Neodiprion lecontei: one gene and its partner. The protein of the gene in region 1 purifies or fractionates together with the protein of each later gene. This does not show direct contact. Links are inferred from orthologs where the notes say so. Each region holds a gene or a part of one and is shown in the gene's direction. Other genes may lie near its edges.

Region 1 (8,845 bases):
ACAATCATTTGATTTACTCATTAGACATTATTGTGAGGCAACTCTCTATCGACAGAATCGTATTCAAAGCATACTTTCCTATTATTTACGTTATTTTCAATACACATTCATTGGTGTAACCAAAAGTGGAGTTGAGTCAAAAACTATTTGAATTCAGTTATTTATGTCATTTTTACGTTTATCTTTTCAGTGCACATGTAGTGTACAATATATTATGCATGTATATTTTTATGCATAACTAGGTCAGTACTCCCAAACTTGTAAAATATATACCGATAGCCATTCGATTTACCTGTCAAAGTTACAAATTAATTACCCTTGAGAACATGTATTTACAAATGACAAATACGTGAATTGTTTACAATATTTATGTTTTTACGTTACTATTTTTACCCTTTCACACAATATATCCATGTTGAAAATAATTATCGTTGCACAAGTGGAAAAGATTTAATGTATTTTTGTGACGTAGTAATTATAATGATATATTTTGTTTTATCGGAATTGTAGGGTAATTCGTTTAATATATGTGAAATGTTGATGCACAGTTTATTGTTTATATGTAAACTGTACAAAGATATCAAACAAATCTTATATACCTAATATAGAATAATCATAATTGATGAAAAATTTTTAAAAGTGCCGGAAGTTATGAAAAAGCGTAAATCGCACTCATATCTAATCGCAGTTTTTAATACTATTTGTAAATAAATAATTATAGGATCAAATACTGTACTTCATACAATTTTTATCAGCTAATGAATTGCATTGAAACGTAATTCAAGCTTATGTAACTGTTTAGAATTTACGTTTCATATTACATTGTAAGACATGTATCGAAAATTGCAGCAAAATGTTGAGAGCAATAGTACCTATTGCTACTAACTATCTATTAAAATGTACATACAAACGCTTTTGCTGTACACAAGACTGTTTGTTAAACATGGATTTGCAAAAGAATATATGTACGTTACATTTTTTGTTCAGATATCAAATCCGAAAATATACCAGGTGGTTATTCTACTGAAGTATATCTAATAACAATCCTCTACCTCCACTTTAAAAATCATAAAAGTGACAAATTAACATTAGTTACACAAATTTTATTAGCTGTGCAAGATATATTGAGAGAAATATATTAAGAGATATTGTGACGTATAAATACCTATAGTTTATTTTGCATGCATATCATCATTTTGTTTATGGTTCATTCACCAGAATTCAACTCAATTTGTTGATTCAAAAAAGACCTATACTTCCCACGTACCTATTTATTCATTTACCAGTACTCGCAATTTAAAATAGAACCAATTAGTGCTGATATAACTAGTGGAAGGATTGAAGTGGTAACTATGCCATAGTGATGTCATTAAGGTCTTTTTTAAATTTAAATTATTGAATTACAAAACTAATGCGTAGTGCATAGTGATGTGTGGAAGTTGGGGAGTGGCGGGGAAAGGACTGGAAAAGACCAACTCCCAAACATCACTATGTATGATTCACCATTGCCATTAAATACCAGATAACAAAACTAATCCTATGTGGAACAGTATAGAGTAATGGTTGGTTAAATTAAATTTTTGAGATAACATCAGTATTTGATGAATTTGTCACATTAAATCAATCTCTACTTTCTACAAACACAACATTATATTTCTCGGTCGACTGCATATAATATTTATAAAATTTTCAACTAGTAGTTCATTGTGATTTTCGCATAAATTGTCCAATAATCCAACTACATGGAATACCCTGTTTAACAAAGTATTCTATAAAGAATACTGTAGCTGCCCCGATAGCTCCGAATAACAGTAAAAACAATGCCGGTATAAATTCTCCAACTGGAATTTGAACAGGTTTCAACTTGTAGCTTGCAGGACAGAGTGGCTGTCTGTACCGCCATACATGTTTTATCCTCTCTCCTATTCCATGTTCAATAATTTGACGCAGTCTGTAAAGGACGTTTACAGTTCGAGTTATTGAACCAATAAATTTTTGTCATTTTTATCTCATGTTTTCGAGGATGCACACCATAGGATATTTAACACAGGCCCATGTAGAAGCAATAGCTCGAGACAAAAGAAAGTAGACCAAGTTACCTAAATGCAGTGGGTACTCGAAAACACAGGATATATGCCATGTATCAAAAGTATTTCTGTTAAATATGATTGAATGTACAGACCCATAGGTGACCATTTTTTTGAACGGGGAATGTTTACTAGTAACAGTGCCAAGATGCGGAGCAGGAAATAATGTAATTTCAACTAGATCACAAATTTCATCTTCAGTAAATTCATCCTAGAAATAATTATTAGATAAAATCAAATTAGATAGTAGATAATTATTCATTACATTCATATATGCATATGTTGTTATATGTTATGATATATTGAGCTGGTCTCTTGCCGTTATAAATTTATACGCAGAATCAACATCCGTGTGATAAGCAAAATTGCCCTTTTGCACTCTACGGAGCCCGTCGGTTACATTGAAGTAGGCGGCATATTTTCGACCTTTTCCAGGTGCAACTTTGCGCCTATAAAGTTCCAGGGCAATCGGATCTGTTGTAGTCTGCCAAGAAATAGTTGCACCGTTATCGTTCCATGGATAGTATGCAAGCGAATGAGAATTCCCTTACCGCAAAATGGTTGCGAGTGTAGGCGATGTCTTCAAGCCCTACAGGCATATCACTATCCAATAGATCTTGCAGTGTTTTAATGTATCGTGGCGGTTCTGCCAATAAAGAACCAACAATACTTGCTGAATAATACTGGTAGAGTAAGAGAGTCCACAAAAATAGTGAGAGGAATACCAAACGCCCAGAGTAAAGCTGAGGACCGTCCGATAAACCTAGATTATCAAGTCAGACTTATCCCATCTCATCTCCAACAACTTTGATGAATAAACTGGACATAAGCAATATATTGGTCAACTGCAGTAAATTTATTTTTACCCTGTTGGCATGCAGCAGCCAATGTAATCAAAGCTGTTTCAGATCCTGTATGCGAGTATAGAGTGTTAAGCGGTGGGTGATCTCGAAAATGGATTTCAACTCTTGCTGTGAGCCAGAGTAGAATCCAACTTAGTACAGCCATGATAATAGTGAAATACCAGACCTCCTTCTTAAATGGCTTTAAAAATCCATTGTGAACTGTACGCTTTTTTGGATGGCGAAATATGAAACAGCCTCTGTAAGAAATAGAAATTATATTAAGGGGCGATAAATGTTTAATTATGAGGTCATATTGCCAGGTTGAACAACTTTGCCATGTATGTTTGTACTGTAAACTCCGACACTTTGAGACGTTCATTTTTGAACATTATCGGACTTCCTCCAATGTCAGCAATTCCGGCAATCAGATCTCCTACCATACCATTATACGATCCGTTTATCAAGTAGCCCCAGCTATCCGTTAGTTTCAAATGAATTCTATTTATGTGGAAAAACAACGTATTTTTATTTGTTGTGCATGTAAAAAACGAGCGACTGTTACGTCAAGATCTTTGTGTGAATCTTGTCGAGAATTCAAACAGTTGAAAATACTTGCGTGAAATTGTAATAATCTTGTAAATTTCGGATCAGTGCGTAGTTGTAGCGATGCATTGTGTCGAGGTGTCGATTAATTGGATTTGTCATGTAAGTTGTGAAATCTGGAGTTGGCTCATGTAGAAGCTGAGAACAAAAAAAATTTCTGATCAGCTAGGCATCCTATGAACAAGTAATGCTGACAGAGGAAGAGAAAAATGCGGAGATACTGGAAATATTTTTTTTTCTAAATTATTCATTGTACGAACAACAAGTGACACATTAATACAGAGACCCTCCAAGTTCGCACGCCGTTGATACTTGTACTGAGTAAGTTTAATGTCCAGACCACTGTACTGATTCCATTTTCCCATGTATGTTACATTTAATATTCCGCCGTGTCTGTAACTTGGGTTGTAGACATCATACAAGATGTAATCCAATCCACTTTTTACAGCTACTGACATTTCCGTATCTATGGTCAGTGGCAGGTCATGGAGCGTTGTGATAGGAGGTGTATCTAGTTTGGTTACCAATAACCAGTGATAACTTTGATTATATGGAAGTTGCTGCCTTGAAAACTGAAAAATATTGATTAATTAGTATCCAGAGGTATGAAAGTGCATTTCAAGTATAAATACATATATAATATAGGTTGAAAAAGATTTGTAACTCAAGCTCACTTCTGACAGAACAGAGTCGCTGTATCGGCAGTCCAAGTTGAGGATTATACCAAGAGTGTAATAATTAACAGTTAACAATCTTCTCATGTCCAAAGCATCGGATGGTATGGGAATGTACGTAAGTTTCAGCTTAGATACCGTGGAGTGGTGATAAAAATTTACCTGCTCTGTTGACCAATGCAACCAAGGTAAAATTAGTGATAATGTAATTGTTCTTTCCCTACCTAAAACAATCCATCTGAATTTTCATAATAAATCTTGAGACAAGTTTCCACAAGGAATTTTATTTTGCCTATAATAACAGATACCAATATTGACATCTGATTCATACGTAGGAATCCTATAGAAAATGAATTAACATTCCATAGACGTTTCTCAAACTTAAAAATTATGGGAATGAACATGAATTTTTAAAATAAGGTCTCAAACGGTTTGGGTTAGAACAGTTTGACATTCTCTCAAGCAATTTGCTTATAGTGTTATAATCTAATTATGAAGATTCATTTCGTGAACAAATTCTATTCAGAATAACTCGACGAAAAAGTAATACCCATTAGTCCTACCATGGGTATCCCAACAAGCGAAAACTGTGACCTGACGTATGAATTTTCTTTCGAAAAAGTCAATTGTGAGCTTTTGAATTTCATAATTGTTGGCGTGTACACGAACCAAGATAGCAATGAAAAAAAATAGATATAAAGAGCTCATTTGGCAAGTATTAAAGATCTCTACTGGCGACTATTTAACGAATCTTCACTCTACAAATGACTTTCTGAATCTAACTTCTTAAATGTCAAACAACCGCCGTTTCATGTCATACTCAAAGGACGTTTACTCATTCATTATGAAATAAGTATTAAAGCTCGTTCCATTTCCTTGTCACTATACATCTTTTACAATTCGATAATTTCGTGTGTACATATACATAGCGAACACATCATTTCATTCCAGAACATAGCATAATTGAGGAGTTAACATACATCAACAAGGAGCGGAACTCTTCAAATATCCGTGCATTCTATCATCTTGTAAAATATGGGGTTCTCTGGGCTGCAATTTTTCCTGCCGAAGAAATATCCTGCCTACTCAATAATTCATCGATACCCTCAGCGGATGTAATGAGCACCTTGCTCACCGCGGACCACGAGCTTCCAGCTGGTATGATGATCAGGTCGTGTTTATTGATGAAAATCTCCGAGCAAATAATATCAGTAGAATACTCAATTCTCGACGCTCATTCGGGTGCAAAATCAAAAAACAACATTTTATGTATATTGAGAAATGTTATTCAATACTTCGATTATTCGCCTTATCACAGGCAACCCAATTGGCTTTTCTGTACGTTGAGTTGCTTTCGTATCGTATGATCATCACCATCCCTGCCAGTTTTTCCAATCGTACGATCAGGATCGTATTGGTACAGTAATTTTACCTCCTGTACGGACATACGGTTCAGTTGCTTGATCGTAACCGCGATTCAGCCTCCGATATTGCAAAAGAATCAGGTACAGAAGTATGAAGGAACTGTCCCAGTAATTCACATTTCGGGTTATATGTGTTTCATTATTGATTCGAAAATAAATAAATAAATGTTTTCTACAAATCTCTACCAATTGCGTCGTGTAAGTAAGTAATTCATCATTTTTATCGTTAGTTTCATGAAGACTAGCTAGTCTCCATGATTAGCTTCAAATATTCTTGAACGCAAAAATGTAAATAATTTGGTTAAAACCTGTCTGGCCTTTGAGAAAAGAAGCAAAATCGTGATAATTATACGACCGTAGAAAAAAAAGAACAAAAATGTACTTCCGTTGACTGAAAATATATATCGTGAAATCTTTGTACAGTTCCGAAATTTTAAAGTAAAGTCCATCTTCACTTTCAGTACGACCTGTTGCTACCAGAGGGCTGGCAACGCTGATCCCTGATGCTGCTCAATGCTGCTGCTCAGTTTTATTTTCGACTCGTACCTGTGGTGTACGTCTGCTTGTGCCGCTGCGCGTGGTTTGTCAACTTAACCTCAAACTTCTACTTGAATTTAGAAAGTGTAATACGTAAGGTTTTGATTTTATAATATAACTTGATTTTGTGAAAAATCTGTATAAGTATGGTGCGAAAAAAGATAGATAACAGGATTCGCATCTTAATCGAGAATGGAGTCAAGTTCGGTCACAGAACAATGTTCGTTGTTGTCGGTGATAAAGCGCGTGATCAGGTAAGCACTGTCACTAGGTAACAGAATTTAAACTCTAACAATAGTCAAGTTTTTACCAACAATTGACGTATTAATACAACTCAGTGTCACTAATATAAACTTCCTGGATTCATCGAAATTGGTTAGGTGGTCATACTACATCATATGCTGTCAAAGTCGGTGATCAAAGCACGACCCTCTGTGCTGTGGTGCTATAAAAAAGAACTGGGTTTCAGCAGCCACCGTAAGAAGCGTATGAAGTCATTACAACAAAAGATAAAATCTGGGAAGCTGAACGTCAATGAGGATGATCCTTTTGAATTATTTGTCGTTTCAACTGACATTCGCTACTGCTACTATTCCGAAACACATAAGATTTTGGGCAACACATTTGGCATGTGTGTTCTCCAGGTAAGTCTGATTATCATCATGAGTAAATTACTGCTCTTGCTCTAAGTGGATCTTGATCTTATTGAAAATAGCTCTATGTATTTTTTTATACTTAATATAAGTGACTTCAATGCATTTTCAGGACTTTGAAGCACTAACTCCAAATCTGTTGGCTCGTACGATTGAAACTGTGGAGGGAGGTGGAATAATTGTTTTACTTCTACAATCTCTGAACTCTTTGAAACAGTTATATACAATGACTATGGATGTTCATCAACGTTTTCGCACCGAGGCTCATCAGGTGAAATTAAAAAATAACTCTGATATTCATTCTCACAACTAGCAATATCTTTTATAATTATCGTAAAACATATTTCAGGATGTGGTGTGCAGGTTTAACGAGAGATTTCTACTTTCTCTTGCATCTTGCAACCGTTGTCTTGTTGTAGATGATCAGCTGAGGGTGCTTCCGATATCCTCGCAAAATTTGAAAATTGAAACAGTAGAAACCACCAGAGAATCTGAAGAGCAAAGTGAACTAGACATATTGAAAGATAGCCTTCGTGACACTCAGCCTGTCTCTGCACTTGTTAATTGCTGTAAGACTGTTGACCAGGTGAATATAGTGTGTCTATAATATCTACAAGTTTTCACTGGAGTTGGTAACGAATCTTGCTCTAATAATTTTTCTATCAAATCATCGGCAAAATACTTGGTAAAACTCAGCAATTTTTTTTTTTCAATCCATAGTTGCTACTGATTCACGTTAGGAACAAAATAACATCAAATTTTTTTGTAGGCTAAGGCTTTGCTCACATTTATTGAAACAATATCTGAAAAAACACTTCGATCTACTGTTTCTCTAACCGCTGCCAGAGGACGTGGAAAATCCGCAACAATGGGTCTTGCTGTTGCTGCAGCTGTAGCATTTGGCTACTCTAACATATATGTTTCTAGTCCGAGCCCAGAGAATTTGAATACATTCTTTGATTTTGTTTTTAAAGGCAAGTATCCATTACCCCCATGAATAAATAGTTATCAGTTGACTGATCATTGAACAGTAAACTTTTACATGTACTAGTGTATATTTACAGGATTTGATGCTTTGGCATATCAGGAACATTTAGATTATGGACTTGTACAGTCAACTAATCCAGAATTCAATAAAGCAACTGTTCGGGTAAACATTTTCAGAGACCATCGACAAACCATTCAGGTATGGTAACTTTGTCTGAAATTACTTAATATAGGATAATTCATAGCACATATCCACCTTGACGATATCAATTGATGATTGCAGTATATTTATCCAACCGATGTACAGAAACTAAGTCAAGCAGAGTTGCTTGTAATTGATGAAGCAGCAGCGATACCGTTGCCTTATGTCAAGGCCATGCTAGGTCCTTACTTGGTATTTCTTGCTTCCACAATAAATGGGTAAATTGGATAATCTAACTTATAAATTCTTTCACTTAACTTAAGAAGTTAGTAAATTACATAATATACACATTGACAGGTACGAAGGTACTGGACGATCTTTATCCTTGAAACTGTTGCAACAATTGAGAAGCCAAACGTCGGGATCAAATAAACATGACAAGAGTTTCCAGTCTAGTAAAGATACTCAGACAGTTGGAAGGCAGTTGCATGAACTTACACTTGAAGAATCTATCAGATACAAGTCTGGTGATTCTGTTGAGCAGTGGCTCACTGAACTACTTTGTCTTGATGCAATGACGCAAGCTCCTATTCTTTCTGGTTGTCCACCTCCTGATACTTGTCAATTGTATTACATCAACAGGTAATCCCTATTTTATCTCTGGATTTTCATGTAATAATGCAGAATATAAGCATTAAAAATTTTACATTGAATTATGAACATATTTTGACCTTCAGGGACACTTTATTTTGCTACCACAAAGCTTCGGAAATGTTTTTGCAAAGGTTGGTTGCATTGTACGTCGCTTCACATTATAAAGTAAGTATATGGCTATGTGATATATTTTGTCATATTGCATGAATCGCCGGTATTATATGTATATCTATATATGT
Region 2 (11,843 bases), on another chromosome or scaffold:
GTTGTTGACATTAAAAATAAGAACGGCACACTGCGGATATTTTCAGCGAAAACAGTTGCACCAAGACAGCAAAAATGCACAGCATCAATTTTATGTTAAAGATTAACAAATATATATATATATATATATATATATATTCTATTGAATAATATGTGAACCCAGGGCGTCCCAGAGCGTTCACTGAAGATGTATAAAGACTGATGGCCTTATGGGACTTTTCGACATCGAAAATGGACGAGATAAATCGAAGATGCAGCTGACGTATAAAAATAATTTCTCAACATACGTTAGATTTCCGTGGTTTTTACAAAATACAGTTTATTTGCATCGGAAAACCCGAACCATTCTACATAAAAATACTACTTGTAAATACATTTTGGAAATAAGGTAACGTTCGATTGTTAATAATGTTCGAGTCCGCGCTGTAACAAACCCTGATGAACCTCAGGCAACCATTGACACAAAAGTAATTAAAAAAAATTCGAAAATGATCAGGGTTCTTTTTTTCAACTTCTATTTACATTACCTGGTTAGATTGTGACTTCGTCCACTGATCCCCAAACATAAGATTGTTCAGAAATTTATTATCAAGTGGCTCAGATTAAAATTGTCCATATCTGACCACTTTATTATACATTTGTAGCAGTGCCCGCGTTGATTATTAGATATTTCGGATTTGAGAATATGTATTTCCGACAAAGGCGATAATATTTTACCCGGAATTTCAGAACTTTTCCGGTAACCCCTAATAATAATATTACCCAGAGGATACAATTGTGTAATAATTTGAATTACTGAATTTTGCCTGTAGGATAGTGGGTAATTTTTAAATTTTATTTCTTGAAGAAAGTGAACTATATTATCATCGAGGAACTTTTTGTAACAAGAATTCCCATACTGACTAGTAATTAGCGGACACCTCGTAAACCTTGATGATATTATTTAGTCGGAATTATAGAAAACGCTCATATTTTTAAGATGTTATTCATGGCAAAACCATTATTTTTTCCTATTTTCACCAAGAAATTTTGTCGAAATGTACGAAATGTCCATACATTACCGTCAATACGGGACTTTTTGTTACAAGTTCCTCCGTACGGTAATAATGATGTCACTTGCAATTCCGTCGTTCAGGACGAAAGTTGAAAGTTTTCTGAGTGTTGTAGTGTTGAGGAGGTGAAATTTATAAATTGTTATGAATAAACGACAATGAAAATCATTCATGAAATTAAATAAATGTGCAATAGCGCAAGGTGTAACTATTCTAGCTTCAATTTCCTTTGATGTGGAATAGCAGATTATAAGTATGAGTATCTTTTGATGACAGTAGTAGGTACAACCGACAGGACAAAAATTGACTTTACGGATAACTTTGCGTTGGAAACAGGATTTAATGATTTGAAAGCCATCGGATTATTCCCCTTGAAAATCAGTTATTAAAAAACAGCTGTTGATTTTTCAATAGTGTGTTTTGTGTCATTCTGAACATTTCAAAATTTGCCCTGTGAGAAAAAGATTCTTGACCGTTTTTTTTTAATACTCTGGAGAACCATGAACTGAAAATAACAACGAGTATGTTTACACGGCGCTGTTATTTCAGTTTTAGTATGCATTTTTACATCCGATATTACTACATCGGCCATAGTGAAACCAGAATAACAGCCGTCGTGTAAATGAATTCATCGTTTAGCTTTTCAACAATTGAGAAGAAAAATATGGTTTGATAAGTACGTCAATATTATGCAAAAGGTAAAATAATTTTTTTAGCTATTTTTTGTCACATTTCCAAAAAGTTATATTACTGAAAAACGATGTTAACAGATTATCAAAATTTAAACTAAATTCACAAGACGTTTATTCTTCATTCCAATTAATTTGCAACGAACCTTATGTTAGATTCATTTCCATTATTCATTTTTATAGTTATTCAAGAACTTGCATAATTTTTCTCAATTAAAACCCAATTACCATTTCCAAATTTTAGGAAAAATTCATAAAATAGGTTCAGCCTTTGAGACATCTTCCATGTACTTCTAGCAAAGAGAAAAGTGTTTCAGAATTTGTCGGCTATTTTGAAAATTTAAGAGATTAAATTTTTTTAATTCACAATTTTAAAAATGCTCAATAGAAGGAAAAAAAAATCTTCGTAGGAACATTCTTGAAGCGAGGAGAACTAAAAATGAAGTAGTTCAAAATTTTTCCAAAATACAGGGTGACTCAGCATTAAGTGACCAAACTGATGGGGGCTATAGAGATGGTCGAGCTAAGTAAATTAACCTGAAGAACATGTGGTCTCCAAAGTCGCATTCACGAGATACGACTGATTAATAAAATCCCGCGAAGCGCCGGCATTTAGGCAACCGAGTACACCAAGCGCCAGCATGTCAGCAACCGGGTACACAGTAGGCAGTGACTAGCGATCTAAATTTAAAGTCAAGACTGTTTTCCTTCAAAATTCGTGAATTTGAAAGCGTTATGTTCTGCATCAGCATCCGAGTGCACATCAACAAGATCAATAACCGCTGCCTGCTGAGTACTCGTTTGCTCCCATGCTGGCGTTTAGTTTACTCGATTGCGTTCATGCCCGCACTTGGCTGGATTTTTTTAACCGGTCGTGTCTCGCGAACGGGACTTTGGAGACCAAATGTTCTTTGGGTTAATTTACTCAGCTGGTCACCGGGTCTATAACCTCTATCAGTTTGATCACTTGATGCTGTTCGCCCGGTATTCGCAGCTCAACCTTGACTTCGTACAAAACTGTGAAAAACTAAATTGATCGTCTTAGAGATGCCACTGTCGCCTGTAAAAGATTTGATGTAAGCTACATCAATACTTATCACTTATTGTTATACAAGCATATTTGTCATGCTTTAAAGCTGAATATGAGTTTTAGTCTTGTTTACAGCCTCATGTGAATATTTCTTATCTTGATGAAGAAATTCGTTGGGCAAACTTATCGATTGACAACTTGTAAGATTCTCCCGACTCTTCTGCTGTATTTTTGACAAGTTATGGAAAGGTCTTCTCTGACTCATTATACTGTTCATATGATACGATATTGTATTATTACATTATATATTTTAAAACAATATCTTAGATATTTATTTTCATTAAAAAATATATCCGCATGTAATGTTTACTTTCCGAAAAAAATAATATTTATATTTTTTGTGCGCACGTATGTATGTGTACACTTGGGGACAATAAATTTGACACGGCTAATTCTTACACTAGACAGTTATGTTGACAACACAGAGAAACCTACAGCGCCACAGTCGGCACAAAGTAGTCAAGGTCCCTAGATTATACAGGTCAAGACACGCGTGGGCAAAAAAATTAGTGAAAATGCCCCAAAAGTCGTATGACAATAGATACTTTCCATTTAGAGCACAGCATGACACGGTGTAAACATTTCTGGTCTATTCCTTTGCCCGGATTGAGCGCTTACAATAGAAATGTGTACACTGTGTCACACTGTGCTCTAAATGGAAAGCACCCGGTGTGGTTCTGATTCCTGACCTGTCACAATGATTAACCTCAAAATATATACGTGCTTCTATTTATTTCGTGAATGTCAGGCCACTAAGGACTCAACTCGTTAATGCTTAACCTCAAAAAATTGCGCAAGATTGGTCAAAACTGGTTAATGCGGTAATGTAAGTTTGATATTTTTTGGGCGAACGCGCATAGAACATTTTTGCCCACGTATAATGAGAAAAACTGGAACACGCGTGTCTTGACCTGTATAATCTAGAGATCTTGAAAGTAGTAAGTATACAATCTGTCCTTAAGCTGGATTTTCACGGCCCTCGAATTGACGCGACGACAAATTGATGCGGCAGCGCCGCGCCGTCGGCGGCAAAAAAAGTCTACGGCCCTAATCATCTTACATACACATAACCTCACCTAACCTAGAATGTATGTCGGTGAACTGTAAACAGTTCTAGCATCTGAAGTATTGTTTGATGGTGAAGAAATGAGTGATCGAGTAATAAAGTGAATTAACGTCGAAATGGATTCACAAAAACGCAAGAAAAATTACTATTCAGGACATCACAATTATCAGAAGAAACGGAAACAGTATAATTTGGAGCCAGGAATCAAAGGCTTTTTTTGCACGTGTAATTTCCGAGAAAAAGACTGCGTTCGCGAAGTGTACAGTGTACTGTCAGAATATGCAGATAATCTTTATGGTATTGAACAGGTACGATGAAGTAATTTTGATAGATGACAGCTAGAATTACTATGCAGTTACATTGGGCATTTAAGCTGTGAATGAAAAAAATCAGTCTTCGCTGTAACTCATTTCTGCACACACGCAAGAATTCTGACCGAAAAAATAGACCAAATAGTATGTGTAATCGTTCACTTAATTCAAGTTTATCTTTGTATGAAGTAGAGACTCTAAATATGTCAAACGTTTGTGTGTCCCAAACTTTTCAGAAAAAATAAAGTGTTCGAACAAGCTTTTGAGAACACCAATTTTTCATGCAAGTAGAATTTTTAAAAAATTCACTCCTTCAACATTACAGACACCGGCAGCATAGTTTGTCCCTCTTGTGTGTATTGTGGTTTCGAATAGCTATAACATACTGTAATAAAGAGCAATTTGCGAATTGTCTCTAAGAAAATGAATGATTCTTCATGCATATCGAGCAAACGTCGAGTGAAAAAAGTCTTACAGCAAAGAATAATATGCGAAAAAGCAGATATGATTTGAAATCAAAGTACTCCCGTTAAAGTCTGAAGACTGACTTTTATTACAGCCATATTAATTGGCCAAGTAACCACACATTAAACAAGTGATTAAACATTTTATGAATATTAGATCGGCATCAGCCATGCGTGTATAAGAGGTGTGAACTTCGTTACAATACGACCATTTATCGAAATTATAATGAACGTTTAACAGAGGTCGAACTTAATCTAACACTTGTCACTCAATTTCAAGATGCCTTAAATTCGGACATTCCAATTTATTGTAAAAATCAAGGAGTCTTGAACATTTAACATATCTGGAGTATCCAAAATTTTCTGTGAAGGTTCACTTTGTAATGCGAGTAGATACTTTGTTGATTCAATAGTTACACAAATGACCTTCAAGTTATTAAAATGATCTCAGTACATCATCAGCATCTCATTCACACATGTCAACGTATCAGTTGGCAGATCTAGTGAGATGAAGTCATTGGTCATATAAGATTGTATTGTTGTTAGAAAATCAGCTGTTCAGAAATGTTCAGAATAAACTGTCTTTGTTGAACTTTTGAGAATAGAAAGGGTAGCGAAGTTAAAGTTAGTAACGTTAATGTAACGAAATGTAAGAAAAATCACCATTTTCCAGTTCTAAACTGACTTTAAAGAAATTGATATATCACAATATCACAAGTGTCTTAATGCAATATTATGTTTTAGTGGATTTTACACAATCCTAGAATTGTGAAATAACGAGTATTTCTATGAATGCATCATTATGTTAACGTTATGAACTTGAACCTTATCTCTAATTCTTTGTCATACACACATCTTCTTAAAAGTGGTTCTGCGTTTAGCACACATGTTGAACTAAAAACAAGCCTAACAAGTGGCCTACGTACAGCAATGTTAACAGTATAGAAGTTCCTAGACCGATGAGATTATTCTGTAATTTAATCCTTTATTATGTCATGGTATGGTTAAACTCATCAGCTCTTCAAACAAATTTACAGACTGAGCTTTGTACGCGAGCATCAGATGAAACAGCCTCTACTGAACAAAATGAGACAGAAAATGGTAATGAGAAAATATCACAGGAAGAGGAAGATTCAGTGGATATTTCAGAAGCATTGAAGAAAGAAGTTGCTGAACTGAAGGCAGAATCTCAAAAGCCTGTGAATTTACGTCGTTTCCAAGTAAGTGGTTTGTCATAACTAATGTAAAAGCAGATAGATTGAAAAAAAATTACTATAATAAAATAATGTAACGTAAAAAGTAAACTGCATTTTATGCATTTACAGGTTGTAGACACAGGTGTAAAAAGTGTCGTTTTTATTAGAACAACCATACCTAATCCGCTGGAATTAGTTTCTACTATCATCAAAGAATTGTATGAAACAAAAAAACAGAGAACCCGATATCTGATGCGGTTGCTGCCCGTTGAAATTGTTTGTAAGGCGTACATGGATGACATAAAATTGAAGGCCAACACATTGTTTGAAAAATATTTTGCCCAAGAGCCAAAAACATTTGCCATCATATTCAAGTACGTATTTTTTACTTACAGTAGTTTTCTCATTGCACCAAAATTAGTCAGTTAATGAATAAATAAATAATCACAGTGAAAAATATAATGGTACATTTCATTTCTCTGTAAAATTTACAACAGTTGCGACATAATGGAACACCTAAATTGTCAACGTTATGGGAAATCGAATAGATTTTACTACAGAACTCACTCGTATATTATGAAATGAATGATTTATGAATGGATGGACGGACGGATGGCTGATGAGATAGGTGGATGATTGGATTGAATAAATAATGGCTTTCTTGACTGCAATAACTCTATCAATTTGCAGGTATTTTTTCACTTCGCATTACCGTAGATATGTCAGGGAGATAAATTTCGTACATTCGTGAATTTTACCAAGTCATTTGCAAAGAAATACCATTGCCCTCTCCAATTCGGAATCAGTGACGATTTGCTGCTATCAGTGAATAGATAAAATAGATGGTTTCACAGTAGTATTTTAAGTACTAATTTTCCCAGTGGTATACTTACATTCAGAAATCAGTAACTATTCACTGTTACCATGAATTTAGACTGATTCATATTCGCTGATAGCGAACAATGCAAGTTGAAAGAAGATAATATTTTAATTATTTAGACAATATTCCAGTTTCTTGAAATTTGAAAAGTGGGATACATTGCAAAATATATCGAAACTTGTAATTTAATCTCAAGAACGTATTCTCCTTTTCTTTTTTCAAGGAATTATCTTCAGAGCTGACAGTGTAACCGGGTAGGTAGCACAGGCTTACAATTTATCATGTAGTGTGAATGGTCATTGGGATAAGTGACGCATGGAAAGTAGAGTGGACATAACACGAATTTGTATTATTTTGATTGTCTTTTGATATCTTTGTACTTTTCAAAACATAGAGTAAAGGATAAAAATAAGAGCTCAAACGCTTATAGCTGATTTTAATTTAATTAAATTAAACTCCTTGTGTTCATATATTTGGAATGAGATTTGATCTGGCCAGATTTTGGCACCTCACCCAGTTTCAGTATAGTAAGTTCACCAGTACTTTCTTTTTGCTCTTCTAACTTAAGAACCCCATATAAATAACTTGTCTTTTTTAAAAAATACATTGCACTTCTACCATTCATTTCTATGCCTACGGATACACCATATCGTAGTTTTTCAGTATAACAAGTATATCTATAAACACAATTGAATCCACTGTTTACATATTTAAGTTATAACATACCTATTATAATACAAGTTTTTTGCAAACGGTCTTTGAAGACCAACTGATTGGCTTCAGTCAGTTTTGCTACCTACCCCTGACACTGAGAACCCTCCTTGAGAACGTCATATCTGTTACTATGTAAAATATGTACTATCTTAACTTTAACACTCCATAGGTCAATTAATTATTTGTGTTTTGAATTGCTTCGCAAACAAAAATCTAAAAAAATTCAGAGTGGTGAATTTGTGAGGACATATTCACGAAAAAGGAGAAAGGAAAAGGGTGGGGTGATGACAGAACTAAATTTACTATTATTTGGACTACCTCGATACAGATACGTGAATTCACGCTACTTCATCAAATCATTATTTATAATAATTATTCATATCATTTACAACAATAAGCATTTACGAACGAAAGTTTAATCTTATGATTACAATTACACATGTAAGGAGTGTATCATATAATCAAAATTAAAAACATTCGCACTTATTTCTAGGTCTACAAACAGTACTGTAATGTGAGAAATTACGGCACAGATTGCAAATAGTATTCTGGTTCTAATAAAATCTGTTTGTAATCATCATATTTTCATTTTAGTCGGCACAGCAATAACAGCATCAAACGGGGTGAATTAATAGAAGATTTGGCTGACATCATCGCAAAAAAAAATCCCGGCAATAAAGCAGACCTAAAAAATCCTGAACTTGCCGTTGTTGTAGAAGTGATACGTGGAGTATGTCTGCTGTCAATAGCTCCCAGTTATTATAAATACAAGAAGTACAATTTACTGGAAATATGTGGAGTCAGGGAATCAGATAAAAAGGTTTGCATTTTACTATTCAACTAAGATAAGTTGAAAACTTATTTATTACATTCTTGAAATTCGCCAATCATTAAAATTGCATTAATAATAGTTTACAAATTTTATTCCAACTCTAATAGACTGTATATTTATACAGAGTACTTGGGAGATTATTGAACTCATTGGTTAACAATCATTTGTACAAAAATTCGTGGTATTGAGTTGTGTTATTACTCCCGTATAAAGCAGTAGTTGAGACTGCAAGCTCTCTTCCCAATTTATTCTCCCAAATTATCAATATTCGGAACGGCAAACACTAACCAAGAATCTGACGAATCTAGTTATCATTTTGCCTTACTCATACTGCGAAGAAACATTGAAACTTGGCAGGTTAAGTAACCGACTGCGCATGTGGAAAATGAATACTATTGGTATCATCCTATCCTGCAAATATTTTCGTCCACAAGGCAGCCGAGCCTTACTCGAAATGGCTAGGCAGTGGCAAAAGAATATTTTCCTCTTTCAAATACTTGTTCCTGCCACCACTAATTAGATTTTTGATGTATTTTTGATTAAAGATTGAGTCGGAGATTTGTTGATTAGATACTTGAATTAGCAATATCCGTTTGAAATTTAGTCAGGGAAAAATTTTCTTATGTGAAGGAAAGTCAGGGAATGTTTCCAACTATATTCAACTAATGGTGATTTGTCAAGATATGCCATTTGGATTTTTCTTTCATGAAAGCTAATTCTTGAATCTTATAGACATGTAACACAATCAACATTTTTATAGGAGTCTGCTAACGTTGCATCACCAGAACCAATGCATTCTAAGCCAGAAGAAGAATCCACAGAAACAGAGGAGTCAAAAAGTGATAAACCAGTAGAGTTGCCAGTTGACGTCTAATGCTAAAAGAAAATCAACAAGAGGATTACTATTGCAGGATTCAATGATTTCCTATAAAATGATAATAATAACAACAACCACATTCTTTATTCGAGTTTTTATGTACATCGGTAATATTTCATATACATTTATCGGTCAAGAACAGTAGTAATCTACTTGCTTGAACACTTTTCGATAGAAAATTTCATTACATTGTCAACTATGTAAAATGTTATCGTTTCTTATACTCTGACCTGCTGTGATTACTTTAGAACAATTGAAAGTTATTCTAATTTTGTAATATTTATCAGGATAAATATCTGTGAAGTACAGATCGCCACAGGTCAAGATAATGTAGCCATGCCAGGCAAAGTGAATTTTCCCAACGAAGGAAACTTATCATCGCAAATGTTCGTTTGCGTAAAATTTACAAGTATACTTTTTCTCTAACTGTTGTTCCCACATGCCCCAATCAGTCTAGGCTTCAAGTGAGGTGCTACAACTGCAGTACCCACCCATTACATGCGTCTTTTTCATGAATGATGTAAAAATTATGCACCCTTTGAAAATTTTGACTACTGCGCAACTTGCGGAATTATATGAGAGTAGCCAAAATACAAAACGGAAAGGCTCACCCGTATGAGAAAAGAGTAATTAAATATAAAACCAACATTTGTACCGAAAAAAAGTATTGGAGAATTTTTCACGTTATATGACTGCAGCAGCCGTTAAACACGCAATTCCAGGGTGGCCTGAAGGGGAAGGTAATAATGAATTTTATTTGTATAGTGATATTCATCACTTTAAATTGATTCTGATGGTATATGCTCTAAAAGGTGCCGTCCCATGCAGGGCCGATCGTCGGAATCTATTAGATAGATTTTGGCACTTCGATATCCCTAGGAATTTTACAATCCACGATGTTGGATGAGCTGGGGTGAGCACCGTTTGCACTACCAGTGGCGCATTTGATGTCGAGAAGAAAACAAAAAAGAGTCTACGGCGGGCGGCCGGCAATGCAAACAGTGCTCATTCAATACCGAAGAATTCCTAGGGATATCACATGTCAGAATCTATCTAAGCATCACAGACATACACATGCCTTGATACCTCTATGTTCTTCGGTAGTATATGTGTGCTGAAAATGAGAGTGCTTAAGTGATGTTCGGTAATCAGTTTTATGTTTACTAAGTGTAGTTCAGTGTGTTTTGATAAACGACTCGTTGACCGTGATCACGGTCTTTACTCTTCCGTGATTCTGTTTCGTTTCATATGAGTTGTCATCGTTGCTGTCATATTGTGTGGACGCTAAGTTACGCTGCATATCGACCACGCGCTGTCCAGTTCAATGCGTGCTAAAACTTACTCATGAGAGATTCTATCATACCGGTAAAAAAATTGTTATTGTTTACAACAAAGTAAGGAGCTAAGAAGCTCAGTCACAATGGCGTACAATTTCCCAGGAATGCCAGCAACACCGATGCCTCCGATGGGTACGACTTAACCTCTAACATTCACAAAACTAATAATTGAAGAAATACCTTATGCACTTCGACAGTTTTATAATATTCATTTCAAACACTGTATTTAATTTCATGTCCAAACAGATTTTTATGTAAAGTTGAAGAAAGCAATGTTAACATAACGGAACATTGAAAATAAATCTGTGGAATAACTTTGTAGAAGTTGAGATAGCTTTGCTTTTTTTTTTAACTAATTGTAAATTTTAAACGATTACCAAGTAACGATTTTTCCCAAAAATGTATTGTTAGCATGGCGAATTTCAGCCTTATGTTTTGAGGCTATTAAAGAGACAAGAACATTAAACCTGCAATCTGACAGTATATTAACAATGTGCCTATCTTTCGAGTCTGTGTTACCCTTGACAATTCAGCAGTCAACATATCACTGTCCATTAACCGAGAGTATATTTTGTTTCATTATGACCTGCTCAATTTCAGATGAACCTAAAGTTAATTTAACTATACATCATTACAATAACATCCTGAAGTTAAACTTCATTTAAAATAATGTTTTTATTGAAGCAATGCCTTAAATAATTTCTTCGTTGTCTGCAAATCGATTCTTTACTGTAATAACTTAGTTTGGTTTTGATGTAATAATCATCAATTTCATCAAATAACTTGTGATTCTTTGACAAATAGTTTGATGTGTTCATCAATGGTTGTAAAAGCCAAAATCAGGTTAAAATTGATTTATTTATTTGTCTTAATGAGTTAATTTCCTTTTACATAGTATAAGGATAAAACAATAAAATAAAAAAGCATTTTACATGGTGGTACATAGGAAGAAAAAAAAATCCTTAACACTTAAAGAAATAGTATAATAGAGTCGCTAATTATATGAAAACAGTTTGCGTGATTGACGAGAGACGATATGCAAGGTTGAGTTATGTATGTCAAGTCACTCAGCATTTTCGTTACAAAGCGATGAAAGCCTAATAATAGGCTAGCTAGAGTCATGATTATAATTAGGGTAGAATCAAAAATTGCTACGCTGCAAAGGCCAAATCCGAACAAAGAAACAGAATTTACAAATCAGTTCAGTACAATCGATATTATTACTTAAGATTTTAAAAGCAAATACCACATCAAATCTGCACGTAGCAGAAGACAGTATAGGAATATCCAGGGTGGATGTAATAATGTAGTCATGATCACAAAAATGCATGGATTC

What was found. Proteins that work in one complex are often made in the same cells at the same time.
Region 2: the proteins of RNA cytidine acetyltransferase (region 1) and THUMP domain-containing protein 1 homolog purify together in Homo sapiens (co-immunoprecipitation; 3 studies listed by BioGRID and IntAct, counting the BioPlex papers as one, with this or other methods). This does not show direct contact. The link is inferred for Neodiprion lecontei from reciprocal best matches to the Homo sapiens genes NAT10 and THUMPD1.

What each region holds. Positions count from the first base shown.
Region 1 is NC_060265.1:2,752,962-2,761,806, forward strand, and holds the start of RNA cytidine acetyltransferase, read left to right. Parts: upstream 1-4,397; intron 4,398-4,759; coding exon of another isoform or gene 4,760-4,917; exon of another isoform or gene 4,918-4,983; intron 4,984-5,160; 5' UTR 5,161-5,367; intron 5,368-5,646; exon of another isoform or gene 5,647-5,835; intron 5,836-6,094; 5' UTR 6,095-6,316; coding exon 6,317-6,424; intron 6,425-6,550; coding exon 6,551-6,814; intron 6,815-6,935; coding exon 6,936-7,094; intron 7,095-7,172; coding exon 7,173-7,409; intron 7,410-7,592; coding exon 7,593-7,797; intron 7,798-7,887; coding exon 7,888-8,009; intron 8,010-8,093; coding exon 8,094-8,230; intron 8,231-8,309; coding exon 8,310-8,594; intron 8,595-8,689; coding exon 8,690-8,771; intron 8,772-8,845. Other genes in the region: ionotropic receptor 75a, read right to left, coding at 1,702-1,951, 2,183-2,298, 2,407-2,571, 2,639-2,850, 2,954-3,189, 3,263-3,430, 3,549-3,673, 3,796-4,107 and 2 more. UniProt on the Homo sapiens protein: RNA cytidine acetyltransferase that catalyzes the formation of N(4)-acetylcytidine (ac4C) modification on mRNAs, 18S rRNA and tRNAs.
Region 2 is NC_060262.1:19,551,223-19,563,065, reverse strand, and holds THUMP domain-containing protein 1 homolog, read left to right. Parts: upstream 1-3,825; 5' UTR 3,826-4,012; coding exon 4,013-4,204; intron 4,205-5,708; coding exon 5,709-5,891; intron 5,892-5,996; coding exon 5,997-6,241; intron 6,242-8,055; coding exon 8,056-8,281; intron 8,282-9,053; coding exon 9,054-9,167; 3' UTR 9,168-9,582; downstream 9,583-11,843. Other genes in the region: ecto-NOX disulfide-thiol exchanger 2, read left to right, coding at 9,859-9,910. UniProt on the Homo sapiens protein: Functions as a tRNA-binding adapter to mediate NAT10-dependent tRNA acetylation modifying cytidine to N4-acetylcytidine (ac4C).